Linked DNA regions of Arabidopsis thaliana. The protein of the gene in region 2 interacts with the protein of the main gene of each other region in a pairwise test. Each region holds a gene or a part of one and is shown on either strand. Other genes may lie near its edges.

Region 1 (7,464 bases), 5.3 Mb from region 2:
GGTCTGACTTCTGAGGAACTAAATGTTGTTGGCCAGTGTTAGGGCTGAACCTTATGTTCAAGATGATAAAGAAACTTAATCAGACCAGACTATACTTAGTCCATTTCATTTCATTGTCCAGACTATGCTCTGTCATAACTACCTAACTTTTATTTTACTTATTGCGACTGTTATAGGCAATGCTTTTACTTCTTTGACCTGAACCAATAAGTGTTCACATTCTGGATACCACTTGGGTTTGAAATCATCAGCTAACCACAAAATCTCTCTTTGCAGGTTTTTGTCTTGTTGTGGTACAACCAAATTCAGATTTTTGTAGACAGAAAAAAACATATATGTTCTATTTTGTTTGTGTAACATTTATACCATTGATTTTGGTGAGGGGTGAAGCAAAGATATCATGCAGATTCTTCTTCTGCCACAGGGTGAGTTGTGACTTTATTCATTGGTTTATGACTCAGATTGCATTTGGCGTGAAACATTCATACACAAACAACAAATTGTTTTTTTTTTCTTTTTTTTTTCATTTTCTATTTTTGGGCCCTTAGCAAGATTTTGGTGCGGAGTCAGTCATTGTCTTGTAATTCGTTGTTACATATAAAATTTAATGATGTTTTTGTTACATATAAGCAAGTCGTATCAGTGTATTGACGGAGTCAAACTTCCATACCTCAGCCAGAAAACATAATGTACAACCATTTCTGTTATATTCTCTGTGTCATTGAGTAAACTGAATTCAACCAATAAGAAAATATACTCTAAAAATAATTGATAAGAAACATGACATTTAATTTTTGCATAGAAAATTGAAAACAAGGGAGTATTACTATCTTCACATGAAACGGATAATGATGTAATCAATGACTCGAGGAGAGAAAACGTGTTTCTTACAACACAAATGCACATTTGGGACACGGGCCATATTATGGAGATACAACAGGTCGGGTTGGGTTGCGGCTAAGACCAAGTCCCAAACCCAAAGGAACATTGTCACTCTTTGACTTACTATTATGGCTATGGCTGCAGTTGGCAGAATGAACATGTGCTGACTGTGAATTATGTGTCGGGTTAACATCGATAGCAACATGGCCATTGCCATTTTGAAGATTTGGATTCCGCTGCATCTGCATCATGCTAATACCCTCTGGTCTCTGTGTTGCGTCTTCTTCATGACACTCAATATCTTCGTTATAACCTTTTACTAAGAAGTCCGAGCAGTTTCTTCTGCACCCGAGATCATAAGGATTCCTAAACCGACCACCTGGACCTCTTAGGTAGCTGTACCGCAGGGCGTTGGCCATTTCATTTGTGGTTATGTTCCTTGATATCTGTAAGGGAAAATAGGGAGAATGGATCTTCAGGATGAGGCAAAACACCACGCCATGAAAATCGAATAATCTAGTCTACTTAGTGAGTTTTAGCTCTGGAGCTATTCTAGAGATGAGTAATCCGGGGAAGCAAAGTACGAAAGAGCAGCCTTTGTATGAGGAACAAAGATGTGCAGATAAGGAAAAAGGAATGAGGGCTCACTTGTGACGCTTGTATGACTGTTAAGACGGCGACAGAAAAGAAGAGGCAGAATTCCACTAGCAGAAAGGATAAAGCACCCACATGATTACTAGCGACATGGCTCATCCATGCTCCAAAAGAAGATGGAGCTGAAGGGTCACTCAAGACTCCTGCATGTAGATAATACAACATTTACATTTTTGTCCGAAAGTTTTCTCTACATTTACATATAATGATTAAAGGGCATTTTCCACTACAAACATACTTGCAAGAGTGACGCCACCAGTTATCAGCATCGCTAGAACTTCAAGTAGAAGAAAAAGAAAAAATTCCCACTTGTTTTTCTGCAAAATAGGTTGGAAAACAAGGACAATCCACAGATTAGTATCACAGACTAGTATCATGCTCGAGCTGCAAGACTAACAAATCAAACCACTAGCAACCAAAATAAATAGAAGAGGTGATATGACACCAAGAAGCATATCTGTTGATCTGTATACCCAAATATGCAACACAAATATACCACTAAGCATTTTCGAAAAGAACTGTAAGTTAGGTCACACCAAAAGAGACAATGAAGAGCAAGGCAGATTTAGTTTATATGAAATGTTAGTATCAAACAAAAGCCTGATCCGTCTACTCCTATTTTGCCAACTTCTATGTCAAAAACTAAAATAGGAAAGGAACTGTACTTACTTTTCCAACACAATTTGATACCCAAGGACAATGGTGATCAAATTGCTCTACACAACGATCACAGGTGGAACAGTGCTTAGCTCGAAGAGGTCTGATAATCTGAATAAAATGAAACACAGTGGACCAAAACAAGTAAATATGTAGCATCGATGATTAAGTATGGTGTTAAGATTGAAGAAAGACATAAAACGGAATTTGAGCAGGTACCTTGCATGTTGCACAGAGCTGTGTCCAATTCCCAGCAAGCAAAGCAGGATTGTTTAGCTCTATTTTTAAGAGTGGTTCCTGTAAAGGGGTAAGAAAACCAGTCAGACACTTGAACAAGAAAATAGTACTCAAAATCATACCGAACCGGATATAATATGGACAATTATGTAAGTTAAACTTGAGAATCAATAAGCTACTAACATCATCTTTCATGGTTTGCGGATCATGGATATTCATTCTGATGTAACCTGGATCCTTCCTGCAGAAAAAATAAAATTACAATATAAAACAATAAGAAAACCCGCTTCTTGTGATACAAAGGTATTTACACTACATGGAAAAATAAGGAGTTCACAATAGAAACTACAGCTGGAACGAAGTAAAGGCCTTAAAATCCCAAACTGCTATCGCTAGGTGATGAATGAAACCATGAAGAGAATCGGCTTAGAATACTATAATGTAATATCTTAATCTGCAACCGTCAGGTGAAATATAAGAAATTTATGCATAGTGAAGAGCCAAAGATACACTATACTAATAATCAGATAACAACAGAGAGCAGACATGGCTACTTTTAGAAGATATACGAAATGGAAATCGAGGAAGGACAGGGTGAGCATATACCTGCTACAGCGGTAGAACAAAAATAATCCTGCAGTTGCAAGAATGAATCCCAGCCATGCAAGCGCACCAATCCCAGTCGTTAACTTTGGCAGATTGGATGCTGCAATGGTCAAAGGGTTCATAAAATGATAGGCATGCATAGAACAGTTACTTGATATGATGCAGACAAAGGAGAATTGAGAAGGCCAAGGTAACTACCCAAAACAACCGAATTCGTATATACGAGCAGAAGCAGCAGGATCATGATCCAAAGAACTGGAGCGAGTCCCAACTTTGACAATCTTCCGAGGGGACTGCTTCCGTCACAACGCTTTTCAAGCAGGCTTCGAGCATTACCCTGCACAGTAGCGTTTATAAGACAGATTCAGACAAATATCGACACAATTTTCTCAATAATTTAAGCATAATGCTGCTCATTTTGAATGGATAAGAAAATCTACAGACTTGGAAAAACTAACATAGTACAGCTATAAGTAGAGTTAACTACACCAGGTATGCAAAGGTCAAATGAGATGCACATAACTGCCAATAAAATGATTCAACTACTAATTATTGCAAGCAGTACAGCCACTACGAAAGCATCAAATCAAACAGTATGAATACATATTGCTACACAACAAACAAGTAAAACAGATACCTACAAGGAAAAAAGAAACTTGTCTGTGATTCTTTTCAGCAGCAAGTTGCGCAGGGGTTAGCCCAGTCTTGTCAGTAATCATCAAATCCTCTTTCTTTCCAGCCTGCACCAAGACAGTGCAAGCCTCCAAATTACCTCGGATGGCAGCCCAATGCAGAGGAGTGCAACCTGATAACAGAATCAATATAACGGAGAAGATGTTAGAAACGTATAGTTAATCTAAGAAAATAAACAAAGAAGATTTAAAAAAAAAATATGTTTGTAACCACCTTCTTTGTCTTGTCGTCCTCTATATGCATCTAGAAATAAAAGTAGGCGAATGGAATCTGCAAAACCTTTATATGCAGCCCTGAATTTCTCAAATTATGAGAAGAATATAAAGACGAAATTAGAACTGTCTTCTGAAAAGATACTGTAAAAATAGGATAAAATCAAAAGGTCAACATAAGAAAGCTAAAAATCATGCAGTAGAATAATCCATGTAACGGTAACGAAGTCTCAGTAAGAAAAACGGGAGAGAAAATAACCTATGTAACCTTAGTCTCTAGATGGAAAACAGTAATACGTATTCACAAATCTTCATAACAAAAACTCGAGAACTATCATAGGCAAATAGTTGACAAAAATTAATTCTAATCCACCCAGTATACTTGGCAACTAGAACAAAATTGAACGAAGAGATATTAAATCTATAGGAATAATAAGAAAAGGGAACAAATAAAACCAATTATCCAGTCTCCAAATAAGCGTGCAAGGCTAAACAATTGTAAGAAAAAATAAAAAGAAGCCAAAAACCAATTACTAAGTAACAATTTCACGAAGGCAAGCTTTGCAGCAAGCATACCAATGCAAGGGGCTTCTTCCATCATTATCAGGCACGTCAGGATCAGCATTCCACTTTGAGACAACGTGACAAAGAAAAGCAGTCTGGCCATACTGTGCGGCAACATGTGTTGCCTACAAGCAGTTCAAAATTAAGTATTAACATACACCCATTGAGAACTAAACAAGAAAAGAAGGGAAATTTGATAGAAGTCAGCAGAGAACATGGACGCGTAGTTAAAGAAGAGATATGAACCTGATAGCCATACATATCCGTTGCATCTACTCTTGCACCCTCTTGTAATAACAGTTCTGCAACTTGTATCGCACCACGAACAGCACTCCAATGCAATGCAGTCTGTCCAGTATGATCCGTCGCGTTTACATCTCCACCATGCTGGAAAAACCAGAAATCGAGAAGGATCAGTTTTAGAAACTTGAAAACCACTAGTTCAAATCTAATTTAGCAATCAACAAACAATTCGTAAAATGACACAAAACCTCGATAAGGTACTGGGCAACGGCGACGCGGTTGTTCAAGGCAGACCACTGAAGAGCATAGTAGCCAAGAGCATCAGGCTCGGAAACAGAGGAACCCTCACACTCAACCAATCTATGAAGCTTCTCCAAATCACCATAAGCGGCAGCAGTATAGACATCGTTCTTCAAGCTCTCTTCTTCAATCCCTTTAGAACTCGATTCCCCATTCTCCTTGGGATTCGATTGGATTTCTTCCACCACCTCAATCTCCGATGACATTTTTTTCTTTTCTCAGAAGAAATTGAGATCGATCGAGATTCGATTCCCTCCCTAATGGATTTTGACCTTTGATTAGTCTCCCCCGAGCATAAATAAGTCGTGAGATTTGGGGGGAAATGAGGGAAGGAGCTAGGTTTTTTCTGGGGGAATCAGAGGAAGAAGAAGAAGAAGAATATGATTGACGAACTCAAAAAATTGACTAAGAATCGGATTAAGACGGGTCAGAGACAGACTTGCTCTCAATTCTTATCGTTCATTCATTTCATTAACTTTTTTTTGTCAAACAAAACCCAACATTATTTTATTTTTTGGTTTTAGTGTTAACCAAAAAAAAAAAAACCAACATTTATAAATTGATTAATTTCATGATCATTTTTTTTTGTATGTAATGGGAAATATTATACCTGGCTAGTTGAGTGATATATATATAGTTCAATGGAATATGAACGAATCAAAACATCTGTCTTAATCATAAGAGATACTTTTTCATTTTTCATATCTTGACAAAAAGAGTTATATTATAAATGTTAAGAAATCTTTTATAAAACCTTGAACTATTGAATCATTTTGGGACAGTGATTTCTTATTTTGATAAAAAAAACACTGGTTTGCATATATATATAAAAAAAGTATTATTTTGAAAATGCATACTCTTGTATTAATAGATGAAGAAACATAATGGAATGATTTTAGAAGAAAAAAAAATATATGAAGAAACATAGTACGTTTACTAAACCAGAGAAATTGCTTTTAAATAATAATAATTTTACAAAAGTCAACTAAGTTCCGCGACGAGATCTCATCATCTCAGTTGCTTATAGTATGTGTATATATCACTGTTAGTTTTACTTTAATTCACTAACAACTAGTGTAACATAATTATTGATGAATCGGGAAAGTCTAAGCAACTTTCACACATATTAGAATAGATTGTAGATGGGCTTCATATCATTCGGATTGTATAACCCAAAGTTTTGTTCAGTCCCGACCGGCTTTTGATTTTCATTGAAAGTTGCAAACAAAAACCCGTCGATGCCTTTGTTAGGCCTTTTAGGTGTACCTTTTCCGCTTGCTATATGCTTCACGAAATTTCTGTTATAGGTACCCGCGATATCCGGCGTGGTAATGTTTCCATTCCCGGCAGATGGCCATCCGGTCTCGGACACCACCATTGGTAAATCTTTAACGCCTTCCTTCTCCATTGCCCACACGAACGCATCAAAGATTGCATCAAACATGTTTGAATAGCCCAGTGATCCATCTTGTACCACGATGGCCTCAGTGTTGAAGGTGGCATAGTCCAAACGGATGCTAGATGGGTCGGACGCATAGGAGAAGTAAGGGTAGATTTTTACGAGGATAGGCGAATTTGTTTGGGATAATAGTTTCAGCACGGGGACAAGTTGTTCACGCGCTTGAGACGTGAACATTCCTGCGGAAGGTGGGTATGATTGCTCGAGGTTCCACATAGCCACCACCGTGCTTATCGAGATAGGAAGATTCCTTGACTTGACGAGGTTGGTGAGAGACTGCATGACTGGAAGCACTTGAGGACCGATTGGTCCGGGGATGACTTCGTTACCAACAGTAATGAACGCGATGTTGATGTCGGATAAGTAAGGCTCGATGTTGGTCGCAAACCAGCCCTTAACAGCTTCTTCGCTAGCTGAAAGAGCAGCCAAGTCCTGGTCCCTAACTCCTACTGTGACCGCAATATCACGATGGCCACGTAAAGCGTTAAGAACCTCAGTGTTTGGGTCGAAGATTCGGATTTTAGTGATGTCTATGGACTTGTAAAGGGTTATAACTTTTGACGGAGATGGGAGGTTATCTCCGAGGAGACCGTAGTTCAAGCCAATGCTATTTGCTGCGTTTACGAAGCCAATGCTATTTGCTGCGTTTACGAAGTCACTATTGTTGTAGTTGACAATCACCACAATGCACGAGAAGAAGAACAAGAAGAGTTTCTTAGGCAAATAGAGCATGATGAAACTTTTTTTCTGCAAAATGTGTGTATATAGAGATATCCTAAGATCGTACTTCTATGAAGAAGAAGAAGAGAACCAAACTTGATTTGTGTTATTATGTTTTGTTGCAAAATATTTGTTTGCATATATAGATGCATATCTGAGTCTATTTTCAGTCTTATTGGTATGAATAAAATAGTAAAATTCTTTTATTTTGGTTCTTGGTGTAATCTTAGCCCTCGA
Region 2 (7,498 bases):
CGCGAACCATTGGCTACAATGCTCCTGAAGTTATTGAGACGAGGAGAGTCAGTCAAAGATCAGACGTTTATAGCTTTGGTGTGGTGATTCTCGAAATGCTAACCGGGAAGACACCTTTAACTCAGCCTGGTCTCGAGGATGAGCGTGTCGTCATTGATCTTCCGAGATGGGTTCGGTCTGTTGTGAGAGAAGAGTGGACTGCAGAGGTTTTCGATGTGGAGCTCTTGAAGTTTCAGAACATTGAAGAGGAGATGGTTCAGATGCTTCAGCTAGCGTTGGCCTGTGTTGCAAGGAATCCAGAATCGAGGCCAAAGATGGAAGAGGTCGCGAGGATGATTGAAGATGTGAGGAGATTGGATCAGTCTCAGCAGTTACAGCAAAACAGAACATCCTCAGAGGCTACTTCCAATGTCTCTGAATGATTCCTCATTCCGACCAAAAGTTTCTTTGATCAATTCTACTTCTATCTTATTACTTTTGAATCCCAGTTAAAAATAATTTCTCTTTGCATCGTAGTTTAGTGCTTATGATCAAACGTAACTGCTTTCACTAATGAAAATTGAAAAATCATAACCACTGCTTTAACTACAGAAACAAAAAAATATTCGCTTTCACTTTAATTATAACTTTCCAAAGTAACTAGAGTAAGATATATTCTACACATAAATTTATGACACCAAGACAGAAGAACGAACAGACAGATACACACAACAAAAGTAAAAAAGTGAACAAATAAAACAATGAAAAATAATTTAAATTCTGTGTTTTTTTTAACCCTCAAAACAGGTAAATATTTGCTCGCTTCTCAACAGTTGATTCCACATTCCAGAATGTCCGGGCCAGTGACTCGGCTAGTGAAGGGATCAATCCTAACCCACAACAACGAGAAGATAGAAGCCAAGAGAACAGACCAGACCACAACAATGGTAGGAGTCCGGTTCTGTCGACCCATCAAACCCTTGAGGAAAGGGTACAAGTGAACAATCACCCAGAAGGCAAAGAACAACTTACCAAAGAGTGGTCCCCATGATTGGTATCCACTGTTGATAGCATAAGAGACTCCTGCAACAACTCCCACTAAGTTTACAATGAGCAGCGTCGTTGGCGGAATCAGAAGTGTTGTCCATTTGAACAAGTAGAGCTCAGCAAAGTCTCCGTCTTCATCTGAAGCTTTTGAGGTAACTGTGAAGTTTGTGTCAATACCGGCAAGGACTTTGAGGATACCTTGAAACACAGCGAATAAATGAGCGGATACTCCACCAATGACCCAAAACTGCTCGTTTCTCCACCATTCGTCTATGCCTACGCCACTCCACCTCATTTCTAGTATACCCGTGGCGAAAATGGAGAGAAAGAGAGACAGAAACCATATACTTGCAATGTTACTAATCTGCAAAAGAGGAACAATAGAACCAGCTGATCAGGATTTGGAACCGTAAATAGATGACAAACACAACATGGTTTCAGTTAAACAGAACGTAATTAAGGTTTGTTCTAGAGATAGAGATAGAGATAGAGATAGATAGACAGAGAGAGGTGTCAAACCTGAGGAATAATAAACTGGTTGGTGAAGAGACAAACGGCTGGCAATGTACAATACATGAGAAGAGGAATGGAGGTGATAGGGTAGATGGTGGTGTTCACATACGCAAACCTCTCAAGAAATTTTAGCCTCCCATTGTAACCATACCATATAGGACAATGCCGACTGAAGAGAATCTCAACTGAACCTAAAGCCCACCTCAGCACTTGGTTCAGACGATCTGAAAGATTGATAGGAGCAGAACCCTTGAAAGCTGGAAGCTTAGGCATGCAGTAAATGGATCGCCATCCACGGGCATGCATTTTGAACCCAGTCAGAATATCTTCTGTCACAGAACCATAGATCCATCCAATCTGAAGAAAGACAGCGGAAAATATAAACAAAGTGAATGCCAAAGTGGATATGTCAGAACAATGCAGATTCATGTAGGAGTTCAAATGAGATTATACCTCCATTCCCCAATCTGACTTATCCTCATAACCACAACTAATGACATGGATAGCCTCTTTGAGAAGGTTTTCTGGAGTTGCTGAAGGAGGAACACCACCATTTTCCATTAGGGTAGAAGCAACAAAAACAGCAGACTGTCCAAATCGCTTCTCCAGGCTCATTTGCGACATTAAGAGCGCCTTTTCATCATCAAAACCAGCACCTAAGTTTCACAAATGCCAAATAGTTAAGACATGATGAGATACCTAGTATGGAAACTATTTAGACAACTGTCAACTATAAATAATCCCCTCCCCTGGATCAATATTTCAAACAGCAACATATGGGTATAACGGAAACCAAAGAAGAAATAAAAACAGTTGTACCTTCAACTCCCTCTTCTATGTCATCGAGGTTGAATACAGGAACAGTTGAGTCAGTATGCCTGCCTGATTTCTTTTTGTCCGACTCTTTCTTAGCTTTGGAATTCTTCTTTCTTGATCCACCACAGAGCTTAGATAAAAGACTTGGCTTCTTGTGTTTTACTTTTATTGGAGGTTCATAACCGTATAATGCTGTTCTGTTGAAAACACATCCAGTTCCGACATATACAGGTCCTTGAATCCCATCTAAACCTCTCAAGTTAATCTGGAAAACATATCATGGAAAAATTACGACAAACTCAAGAAACTGTGAGTTTAATGTATATTCGTGTCTAAAAGCAATTTGAAAGAACAAGAAAATTAGACGCAAGTATAGGTAAGTGTGACTTACATCAAAGAACACGGTATTACGATTAGCATATCTATCGTTCTTATCGATACCATCAAATCTTTGTGGGAACTGAACATAACAAACTTGCTTCCCGAGGTTTGGGTCCATCAGGAAGCACATTGCTTCTCTTAAGGCTTTGCTGTTATTTATGTAATGATCACAATCAAGATTCAAGATGAAAGGTCCATTGGTAAGAACTGCTGAAACTCTCACCTATTCATTTGAAAAGTACCCAGATTAGACTAACAAATTGGTCAGAATGAAGAAGTCAAAAATCCAAGATCAGAAACTTACCAGTGCATTCATAGCACCAGCCTTTTTGTGGTGCTGGAATCCTGGTCGCTTTTCTCGAGAAACATATACCAAACGCGGGAGCTCATTGCCCTCTGCATCAAGTCCACCATTTTGCCCTAAGAAGACCTGCATTCAGCAAATGGTACTTCAATAATGAACTTCTAGAGAGAAAGAGAGAGCATTCTCGATTCCATAGTTAAAACCAATTTCTTACCTGGATCATTCCTGGATGGTCCCTTGTATTATTTCCAGGCCACGGTGTGCCATCTTGCATAACCCACCCTTCTTCAGGACATTTTAGGGCTTTGGAAACAAGTGCATTGATTCGGATTTTAAATTCCTCATATTCCCTCTGAAAGAAAATAAAAGGTCAATATAGCATACACTAAAATCAAAGTGAGGGTGACTAGATGACTAAAACTACAAACTTACCTTCATAGCTCTACGATCTTTGACAAATGATGTCTGAACTTTATCCTTCAAGTAATCTATTTTCGCAGCAAAGTACCATTCTGGTGCACGAGGCTCTATGCTATATTTCTTGCAAAATGGTACCCATTTACGAGCAAACTCTGATGTTTCTGCAAGTGATTCAAATGATAACATAGCAGCACCATCATCAGAAACATAACAGGACACCTTGTCAACTGGGTAGTCAACAGCCAGAATAGAGAGCACTGTGTTGGCTGTCACAAGGGGTGGCTCCTTCAAGGGGTCAACAGTACTCACGAAAATGTCAACAGCAGCTAACTGTGATGGCTCACCTTCACGATCATATCTGTCCCAAAAATTGACCATGATCAAATTAAAATGGGAAACAGTATAGGCAAACAATCCTTTGAGTAATTGCTTCAGAAGAATGGGGAAATAGAACTTACCTTAAAGCAAGCCTGTCGAGGTAGGTTTCACGGTTCACAGGAAACCACTTGGGAAACTGATCCAAAATCCAGGATAAGGCAAACCAGATCTCACATATCACAGAGACCAGCCATAGAGCAAAGGCATTTGGCACTGGGTTTGTTATACGGTAATGCAAGAAGAGACAAAGGATAACAAGCCGCAGCATAATAACCATTCTGTAAGGATTGATCCGTGATGAAGGAATTGAAACTTTCCTTGACAGAGGCTGCCTCGCTTCGTCATTCCTGTACAATAAATAAAGAATTGGAAAATGAGTATCAGGACATTGCTTAATAGGAAAAACGCTCGGTACACCACGACAGAACAAACAAGATTACAAAACAAGAACTCACAGCAGAGCCTCATCTGCTAGGATATCTGTGCTGGCATCAATATCTACTCCACCTCTTTCAGAAGCAGCCTGCGTGCTGACAGGACCAGTATTCTTCTCTTGCTTCATTTTCCAGCCATCAACTCTCTCCTTCCAAGCTACATTCCCGAGTCCAACAGGATCCACAATCCTTCTATTTGCTGCAGCGTGAATGACAACAACAGATTTTATTGTTTAGAGTTTTGACATAAAAGAGAAGCCTAGGTACAAATATATGTGTTGGCGAGAGAGTTAGAAATAAAGGATATTTACGTGATTGATTGACATCTGATGAATAGGGAAGGCGCTTTCCCCCAGCGATAGTAGAAGATACAGAGAGGCGTTCAGGTGAGGCAGCAGAAAACTCTCCTGAAGTCTGTAAATAAGCAAATGACAAAATCAGATTCCAAAACTAAATTGCGTGAGGATGCGAATGCTTAAGAGGGAAGAATGAACAGCAATGCCTTACATCTTGTCTGCTCGTGAGACGAGGAAGATGATTGTGAGAGACCTCTTTATCATACTGGGGTTCCCCCATTTCCTCTCCCTTCCCACGAGTAAGATGCCAACCAAGCATCCGCTCTGAAATTTTCTCCTTCTGAGGGTAGTTGAACTCAACAGTACCTTCATCAGCTAAGCCATCCTCGTCTTTATCACCAGGAATAGCAGGACTACCTAGAATCAGAAATTAGCAAATTGCTATAAATACCAATCTGATCCAAAATTCAAAACATACTGATAAACTATCGATGAACAATGAAGACAGTATACTTCAGAAGGATCAAAAGAGAACCTTTGAGCCTCTTGTATCTGGTTTTGCACTGAGGACAAGATTGATTCCCATCTTTCCTCTCATACTCGTAGCAAGGCCGACAAACTGGGAATGAACAAATATCACAAGCCACAAAACGATCTCCATCAACAGTCTTGCCAACATTGTCACTACAGATCTGGCAAGTCTGCGGAACAATGTTCTTCATCGGCTTTCCCTACAAATCAAGTCGAATCAATGAAGCCAAAATTAGAAACCTCAACAGAAAATTTGAAATCAGATCTCTCCAATACACAATTCAACACCCAAATCAATCAATTTCAGTACATATAATTCCTGATTTCGATAAAGGTAAGTATAATGATGAAGCAAGAGTCAAAAAAGCATACCGCGGTTTCTCCTTCGGATTCCATTTGTCACTTAGTTGCTTCCAACACCGAAACGTCGGAATAGTTCAAATCTGATCGGAATTATCAAAAACAGAAACTACGATTAGATCTGAGGAGATCCGAGTAAAGGAAGTCAAATCTGAGAATGGATCATGAGTGTAAGAAGAGTTAAAAGCTTTACCATGAGATCTGAAGATGGAGTGTGGTGATGTGACTCTCTGAATCTCTCTCAATCTGGATCCAAGCTTTCTTCTCTACAGAGAGATAGTTTATAAGGAAGACGAAGAGGAGAATCTTGGGATGGCTAAGAAGATGCAAAGAGCAAGCTATTTGTCTCCTCTACTCGTCACTCTTCCAGATTTTTAAAATATTAATATATTTGTCACAAATCATAATCCAACCAAGCAACAACCACCACCACCACCGACAACTTCCACAGTCGATTTTTTTCTAGTTACAGTTTTACAGTGGCTGTAAAAAAAGTGAAAAAACGGCCGATAAACCTTTAAAATATCCTTAGAAATATATTATCATCGAATTAGTGACTAAATCAAAATAGTAATTGATATTTGATAGTGATATAACTAAAATAGAAGTGTGAAGAACACAACAAATCACAAGTAGTGGGGTAAAGGATATTCATCGTCACTAACTTTCTTACAGATAAAACTTAAAAAGTATTTGCCGACAAAAATAAAACTTCAAAATATTAATTAATCAACGGATTAGTCCAATGAATAAATCAAAATATATTGATAGTGATGCTTTACTTACTAGTATATCAAAATAGGCTAAAACCAGCGGGCTGAAAAAATAAAGGTCCAACTCTAGTATCATCAAGCCCAACAGAATCGAGAAAATGGGTTTGTTGGACTTTGCAGACAAAATTGGTATATGTTCGGTTTACGTTATTTACGAGAGAAAATTGAATCGAACCGAACCCAATAATTAATAGGTCAAACTTTGATAACTGGTGGTGCATGTGGAGATGTGTGGCCACTAGTGCAGCAAAGAACAGACTGTCAGATAGACAAAAGAAGAAAATGGCAAACATTTGAATCCCAAAGAGCGCCACTTTCTCTTCGCTATCCGACAAATCTTCCCTCCTCTTTGTCGTCCCTTTAAACCTTTCCACCTTCTGCTTCGTAACTCTCGTACCCTAGCAATCCTCTACTTAAACCTTCCTTTGTTTCTCCTTCACTTTTCCTGTAAATCTGCTCTTTTGTTCCCTCGATCATATCAATTTTCAAGGTCAGTGAAATCTCATGTTTATTTGGTCCTATGTGAATCAGATTTCAGGGTTTGATATTTGTTTGTTCCGTTGATGTGTTTTGTAGATCTTATGATCTGAGTTACTTGCTCTGTTTTTCTGAGATTTATGGAGGGTCTTTGTCTATGTTTCTTCACCGTTGCAAATGAGTTATAATTTCTGTTTACATGTAGTGAAAAAAGTTCAGTTCTGTGACATAAGAAAGTCTTAAAATTTACGCAACCCTAGTTTTTTTATTTTCTAAGATTTCAATTAAAGAACATTAGCTTGTCTCTTCATGATAGTTTTCCACTGATTATTATCACAACTTTTTTTTTTGTTAGATATTTTTAATCGAAATTATTGTAGAGATAAATATAAATACGTTTTTTTTTTTTTTGGTCAAAAAATATAAATACGTTTAGTTATAGCTAAATCTTAGGAGTATAAAAAAAAAAAAAGTAAATAAAAATCTTACCAGTTTTTATATCTCGTATATCTTCTGTATTTTTAGGGTTTTTCTGTTACATCATTCTATGTTTACGTTTCTTTGATTTTTTTTTGCTTGATCATTTTTAAGTTGATTCGCTTTTTGTTGTTTAAGTGTAATGGATTTTACAACAGTTGAGGTCCCAGATGAGTGGCCACATAATTCGAATTCCTTTGTGGACATCTCAACAGGTATAACCGTATAATTCATTCATGTCTTATTTTGGTTGTGTGCGTTTCCGTTCAAACGTAGAAATCTTATTAGACATATCAATTGTCAAGTTTCAGA
Region 3 (4,680 bases), on a different chromosome or scaffold from region 2:
AGAGCAGGGACAGCATCCGCACTTTCAACACAAGCACGTATATCTTCGCTATGATTGCACAAGTTCCTAAGGATAGTTGCAGAGTCTTCCCTGGCTTTGGCCGACCCAGTCTCTAGAATTTGAACAAGTGGAGGTATACCTCCAGCAGCAGTGATGGCCCACTTGCTTTCATCATTTTCGTTAGACAAAAGGCAAAGAAGTGCAACAGCACATTCTTGCTGCTGTTCGGATGAAAGACCCAAAAGAGATATTAGCAATTGGATCCCTTCACGGCCCTGTAGTGCTTGCCACAGGCTACCTTCATGGTTACACAGCATCAGAAGAGCCTTTACAAGCTCATCTTGAACCTCATTCACCGCCATCGTTATTAGACCAACAAGCAAACGTTTTGCATCCGAGTTGGAAAGTTTGACAGAGAGTATGGAATTCCCATACAAACTTGCAAGTGCTTCAATTGTACGTTCTTGCACCAAGAATGGTAGACGAGGCTTAAACTGCTTCAGCAGAGTCTGTTCAACGACCAATGGATCTGATGCTCTTGTAGTTTCTGCCTTGCCATCATATATCATCAATGCTGAAGCTAAAGCCCCAAGGGTGTCGGCAGTCTGAGCAGGCGAAGAGCAAGATTCAAGGCTCTGACCAAGGCTTGATATGACATATGACAAACCACCGGAAATATTAGCAAGGGCACACATTGCATTTTCTTGTAATGCTTGCGCATATTCACCTTGCATGAATTCTTTAGATGGAGCTATTGTTGCATTTATTAAAACAGGAATACCATTAGAATTAGCGATTTCCCGCTTTGCTTCCTTAGATTGAGCAGAAAGCGACTTGAGAGCAGCAGCAGCCTCTGCCCTCACTGGGGCTTCATTACCCGATCCTAATAATTTGAGAAGCTGTTTTGTAATGTCTGCAGTCAATACACTGGAACAAACAGAGGCGTCTTCCATCATCATACACGCAAGAAGGAAGCAGACATTAGATAGTGTACTTGACTGCCCGCTTGTGAGCAGCTTCACAAGTACATCCACTCCCCCAGCTCGAATTGTCTCAGACCAAAATCCCTCTGTGGTACTAGAAAGGTTCTTAAGTGCACCAGTTAACAAACCATCAACCTCTCCTTTTTTATTTCCACTGCGCAATTGGTCCCACAGAACCGGTACAACTCCCTCAGTGGAAAATATTTTTGATCCAACATGGTCTTTAACCCCACCTTCAGAAACAGCATAGATTGTCTTTGCTGCAGCGATCTGCCCTTCGACTGAACTGGACTTGAGAAGACCAAGCAATGGAGGAATGCATCCCCCAAGTAACACCTTAACTCTAAGTTCGTTCTCCTTGCAGAGTGAACCCAAGACGGTTGCAGCTTGTATCTTCACTCCAACTGATCCCGATCGGAGAAGAGAGACAAGTACTGGCACAGCTTGGGAGTGTGATCCGACAGCACTGAATGCATTCTCACGCATTTCTATAAGGTCCAGTAACTGCTTCAGACAATATTCTCTTTCTTGTGCAGATGATGAACCTTGGCGCAGCTGCTCAATGCATTGGGCAACACTTGCTAATGTCCCATCTGGATCTTCCATGCTGGTTGTCCGGTCTCTGCAGGGGATGGGGAAAGTTAGATACTAATTCGCTAATAGGTGTGCCTTTCTGCTTAAAATGTCTCATTTGAAAGGATAACATAGGAAACCAATCCAGATAATATTAATTTCCACAGGCATTGTTAAACCAAGATGGTGGTGCAACAAATACAGATAAAACCTCAATTTTATCACGATGATTAGCTCCCATGCAGTACCAAATACATATATGCGTTACCTCAAACTCATCTTTGTGGTTGAATGTGGAGTTGGGGGCTCTGAATCATGCATCTTCATATCCCCATTTCTCTCCTGCAATCAAGACCAAACAACAGAAAATAAGTTAAAAGAGCAACAAGACCTTTTCGCTCCTATGCAATGGAAAAACTATAACCTTTATCATGACACTCTATCAGATATAACTGACTGGTACAAAGCCATTAATTAACAATGGACTTAGCTCAAGTACTTTTTTCAAATCAGATTCAAAATGCAAGGGACATATCAGCTTAATCATCCTGCTAATACACCAGATCTGACTTTGCAACTCAGAAAGATTGCAGTATATCAACTAAACAAGCTTTTCCATAAACCCGTGTGATGAATGTTAATACTGAATCAAGTAATTATTACCGTGTCACTTGGGGCAAGGCCATTTCCATTAGTGGAAGGAAATCTCCATCCAAGAGCACTTGTCATATCTTCACTTCACTTAAAAAATTCTCAAATCAAAAGTAGACCCAGAGACCTTGCCCCCTACCCAGATCTACTCAAATCAGATCGTCAGAACATCAACAACACCCCCTGCATAATATATAAAAAGGATCAATCTTTACAATAGAAAACGATACAGTGAAGTAGGAAAAGCTCAATGCAATTATATTATAATTGAAGACTAATAGTATAAAAATATCACTCTACCTAACTGAATTCTACTACTGCTAAATCTCGATCCGAATCGTTTAACATTCCAGATTCGAACTAAAGCTAAATGAGGAAACTTTTTAACCAATAGGAACTCAAAAAACAGGATTCTTCAGATCTAGATCATAATTGGATCTCTATCAATGAAATCAAACACAAGAGATCCGATAATTCAAAAAGCATGCATTTAGACATTGATAGATCAAATTGAACTCACCTCAATGCAACAAGGAGAAGAAGATGAACAATCTGTTACGTAGAAGAGAAGCGAATAAGACGAGAGAAAGGAGAGAGGAGTGAGAGAGAGGTTTCTTCTTCTTCTTCGTCTGTGATTTTGACTCAACAAAGTATAAAGCGGGGGAGAGAGAGAGGGAAGAGAGAGAGCTGTGTGTGTGCTGGTGAGAGAGAGTGATCAGATTGGAGCCGGCTTTGTCCACCGACAGACAGCGAGTGGATTCACTTAGCGACTCGAGCCGGCTTGAGTCGGTTGTCGAGCCGACAGAACTAAACGACTCTTGTACAGCGAATGGTATACTTAATTGTTTTTTATTACTTTCTTTAATCAAAAATAAATGAGGAAATTGACTTTTAGCTGTGAATTAATTATTTACATCAAACATTTTTTTTGTTAACAAAAATTATATAACTGTTTTTTTCCAGCAATTAGCCAATTAGTAAACATTTTGGTTCATTTGTTCAAGCAAAATTTTACATTTTATAAATTTGATTAACCTTTTTATCCAAAACATCCGTAGAATTGAAACAATATAAGAAAAAATATTATACCACAAAAATTACACACACGAATAAAAATATTGTCTAATTTATTTCTCAGATAATAACTTAATTAGTTAATTGTCTCTAAGTTTAGATTATGTTACCAAATTATCACTCATGGGGTTATCTCGATTTTTTAGTGCAACACAGTCATTACAAATATTTATTTAATATTTTTCAAAAGGATATCAAAAATAAATTGTCTATTTTATTGTGTCATTTAACATGTTGAAGTAAGTTATGTAATAATCAAAAGTTATCTCTTACAAGATCAATCGGATAAACAATCAAGAAAAAATAATAAAATATACTGATGAATTAATAAAAAGAATAATAGTAAGATCTGCAGTAGTTGTTGTTATTGGTCCTATTATGTTGATTTGTTACCAAACTTGATTAATTAGCCCATAACAATGGCGATAGTAAAGGTTTCTATCTACCACCAATTGTCATCCACAACATAATCATCACGAATTCTATATATATGGACAAAAAGTATAATAACTATTTTTACGGCTTCCTTCACATCTAAATTATTTTCCATAATTGTTCAAAAATCGCGACAGCAGTTCTTTTCGTCTGAAAGTGAGAGAAGTCGGGGGAGCAAATTATAAGGATGGTAAAACATATAACGTGGGAGAGAAAAAGCACATGGCCTCATGGCTCATGAGAATCAAAGATTCTAAGTTTTAACTATTCTTTTGTTTTTTCCTCGACGCATGTTTTGTTTCTATCGACAACTATGCCCATAAAAGCATATGATATGCACAATTATGATAATCATATGAATGCACATGTGCTCTTTCTTCCTAGCCAATTATGATCATTGACGATCATCACTATACCATAAAAATGACTGGACAAAGTCATATTCTTTGATGCTTCTTGTCACAACTTGATACATCCACTTTCCCGAACCGTATAAAACCCAAGAAGCAAAATTCTCATATAGATCTCATAGATTCGTTCGAAATATGTTAAATTTGCATCGGATATAGAAGGTGAAGGCTGCGTCTCCGGCCGGTGAACCGTCGTTTTACTGATCTTGTTTCTATTATGTTCCGATTTGGACCACTTTTTTGTAACCCGTGAAATTCTTAGCCCATCTGTCAATAGACCGTTTGGAAATGAATATCTAAAAAAAAAAAAAAAGATGTGAAGTCCATATTTAATCAGTGCCCGGCATTGGAACGTAGTAAGTTTGAGGAAGCATCAACTTGTAGCCGTGAAATTAATATTATGGTTTTTAGTGGTTTTAATTTAGCGTGTCATAAGTGAGAGTAAAAGAACTCTTTGATATTTCATTTTCATACATATATAATTTACTTCAATATAATGGTTTGATGAGGGTCTTATCATACATTTGATTTTTTCTTTTATTTTAGTGTTACAT

Evidence for each region. Proteins that work in one complex are often made in the same cells at the same time.
Region 1: the proteins of CEV1 (region 2) and TIP1 interact in a two-hybrid assay, tested with the Arabidopsis thaliana proteins (one study listed by BioGRID).
Region 3: the proteins of CEV1 (region 2) and CSI1 interact in a two-hybrid assay, tested with the Arabidopsis thaliana proteins (one study listed by BioGRID).

The regions. Positions count from the first base shown.
Region 1 is NC_003076.8:6,874,562-6,882,025, reverse strand, and holds TIP1 (Ankyrin repeat family protein with DHHC zinc finger domain-containing protein), read right to left. Parts: upstream 5,586-7,464; 5' UTR 5,255-5,585; coding exon 4,997-5,254; intron 4,893-4,996; coding exon 4,752-4,892; intron 4,631-4,751; coding exon 4,518-4,630; intron 4,023-4,517; coding exon 3,943-4,022; intron 3,842-3,942; coding exon 3,678-3,841; intron 3,374-3,677; coding exon 3,235-3,373; intron 3,137-3,234; coding exon 3,037-3,136; intron 2,672-3,036; coding exon 2,614-2,671; intron 2,491-2,613; coding exon 2,413-2,490; intron 2,305-2,412; coding exon 2,206-2,304; intron 1,854-2,205; coding exon 1,775-1,853; intron 1,680-1,774; coding exon 1,531-1,679; intron 1,329-1,530; coding exon 924-1,328; 3' UTR 520-923; downstream 1-519. Other genes in the region: BG5 (beta-1,3-glucanase 5), read right to left, coding at 6,175-7,239.
Region 2 is NC_003076.8:1,529,596-1,537,093, forward strand, and holds CEV1 (Cellulose synthase family protein), read right to left. Parts: upstream 5,964-7,498; 5' UTR 5,653-5,963; intron 5,543-5,652; 5' UTR 5,496-5,542; coding exon 5,472-5,495; intron 5,300-5,471; coding exon 5,104-5,299; intron 4,986-5,103; coding exon 4,780-4,985; intron 4,687-4,779; coding exon 4,584-4,686; intron 4,472-4,583; coding exon 4,294-4,471; intron 4,186-4,293; coding exon 3,919-4,185; intron 3,819-3,918; coding exon 3,473-3,818; intron 3,393-3,472; coding exon 3,255-3,392; intron 3,167-3,254; coding exon 3,041-3,166; intron 2,960-3,040; coding exon 2,747-2,959; intron 2,621-2,746; coding exon 2,359-2,620; intron 2,196-2,358; coding exon 1,993-2,195; intron 1,897-1,992; coding exon 1,546-1,896; intron 1,391-1,545; coding exon 806-1,390; 3' UTR 537-805; downstream 1-536. Other genes in the region: RUL1 (Leucine-rich repeat protein kinase family protein), read left to right, coding at 1-422; AT5G05180 (myosin heavy chain, striated protein), read left to right, coding at 7,329-7,401, 7,498-7,498. UniProt on the Arabidopsis thaliana protein: Catalytic subunit of cellulose synthase terminal complexes ('rosettes'), required for beta-1,4-glucan microfibril crystallization, a major mechanism of the cell wall formation. Involved in the primary cell wall formation, especially in roots.
Region 3 is NC_003071.7:9,404,398-9,409,077, reverse strand, and holds the start of CSI1 (binding protein), read right to left. Parts: upstream 3,020-4,680; 5' UTR 2,728-3,019; intron 2,391-2,727; 5' UTR 2,286-2,390; coding exon 2,220-2,285; intron 1,899-2,219; coding exon 1,825-1,898; intron 1,606-1,824; coding exon 1-1,605.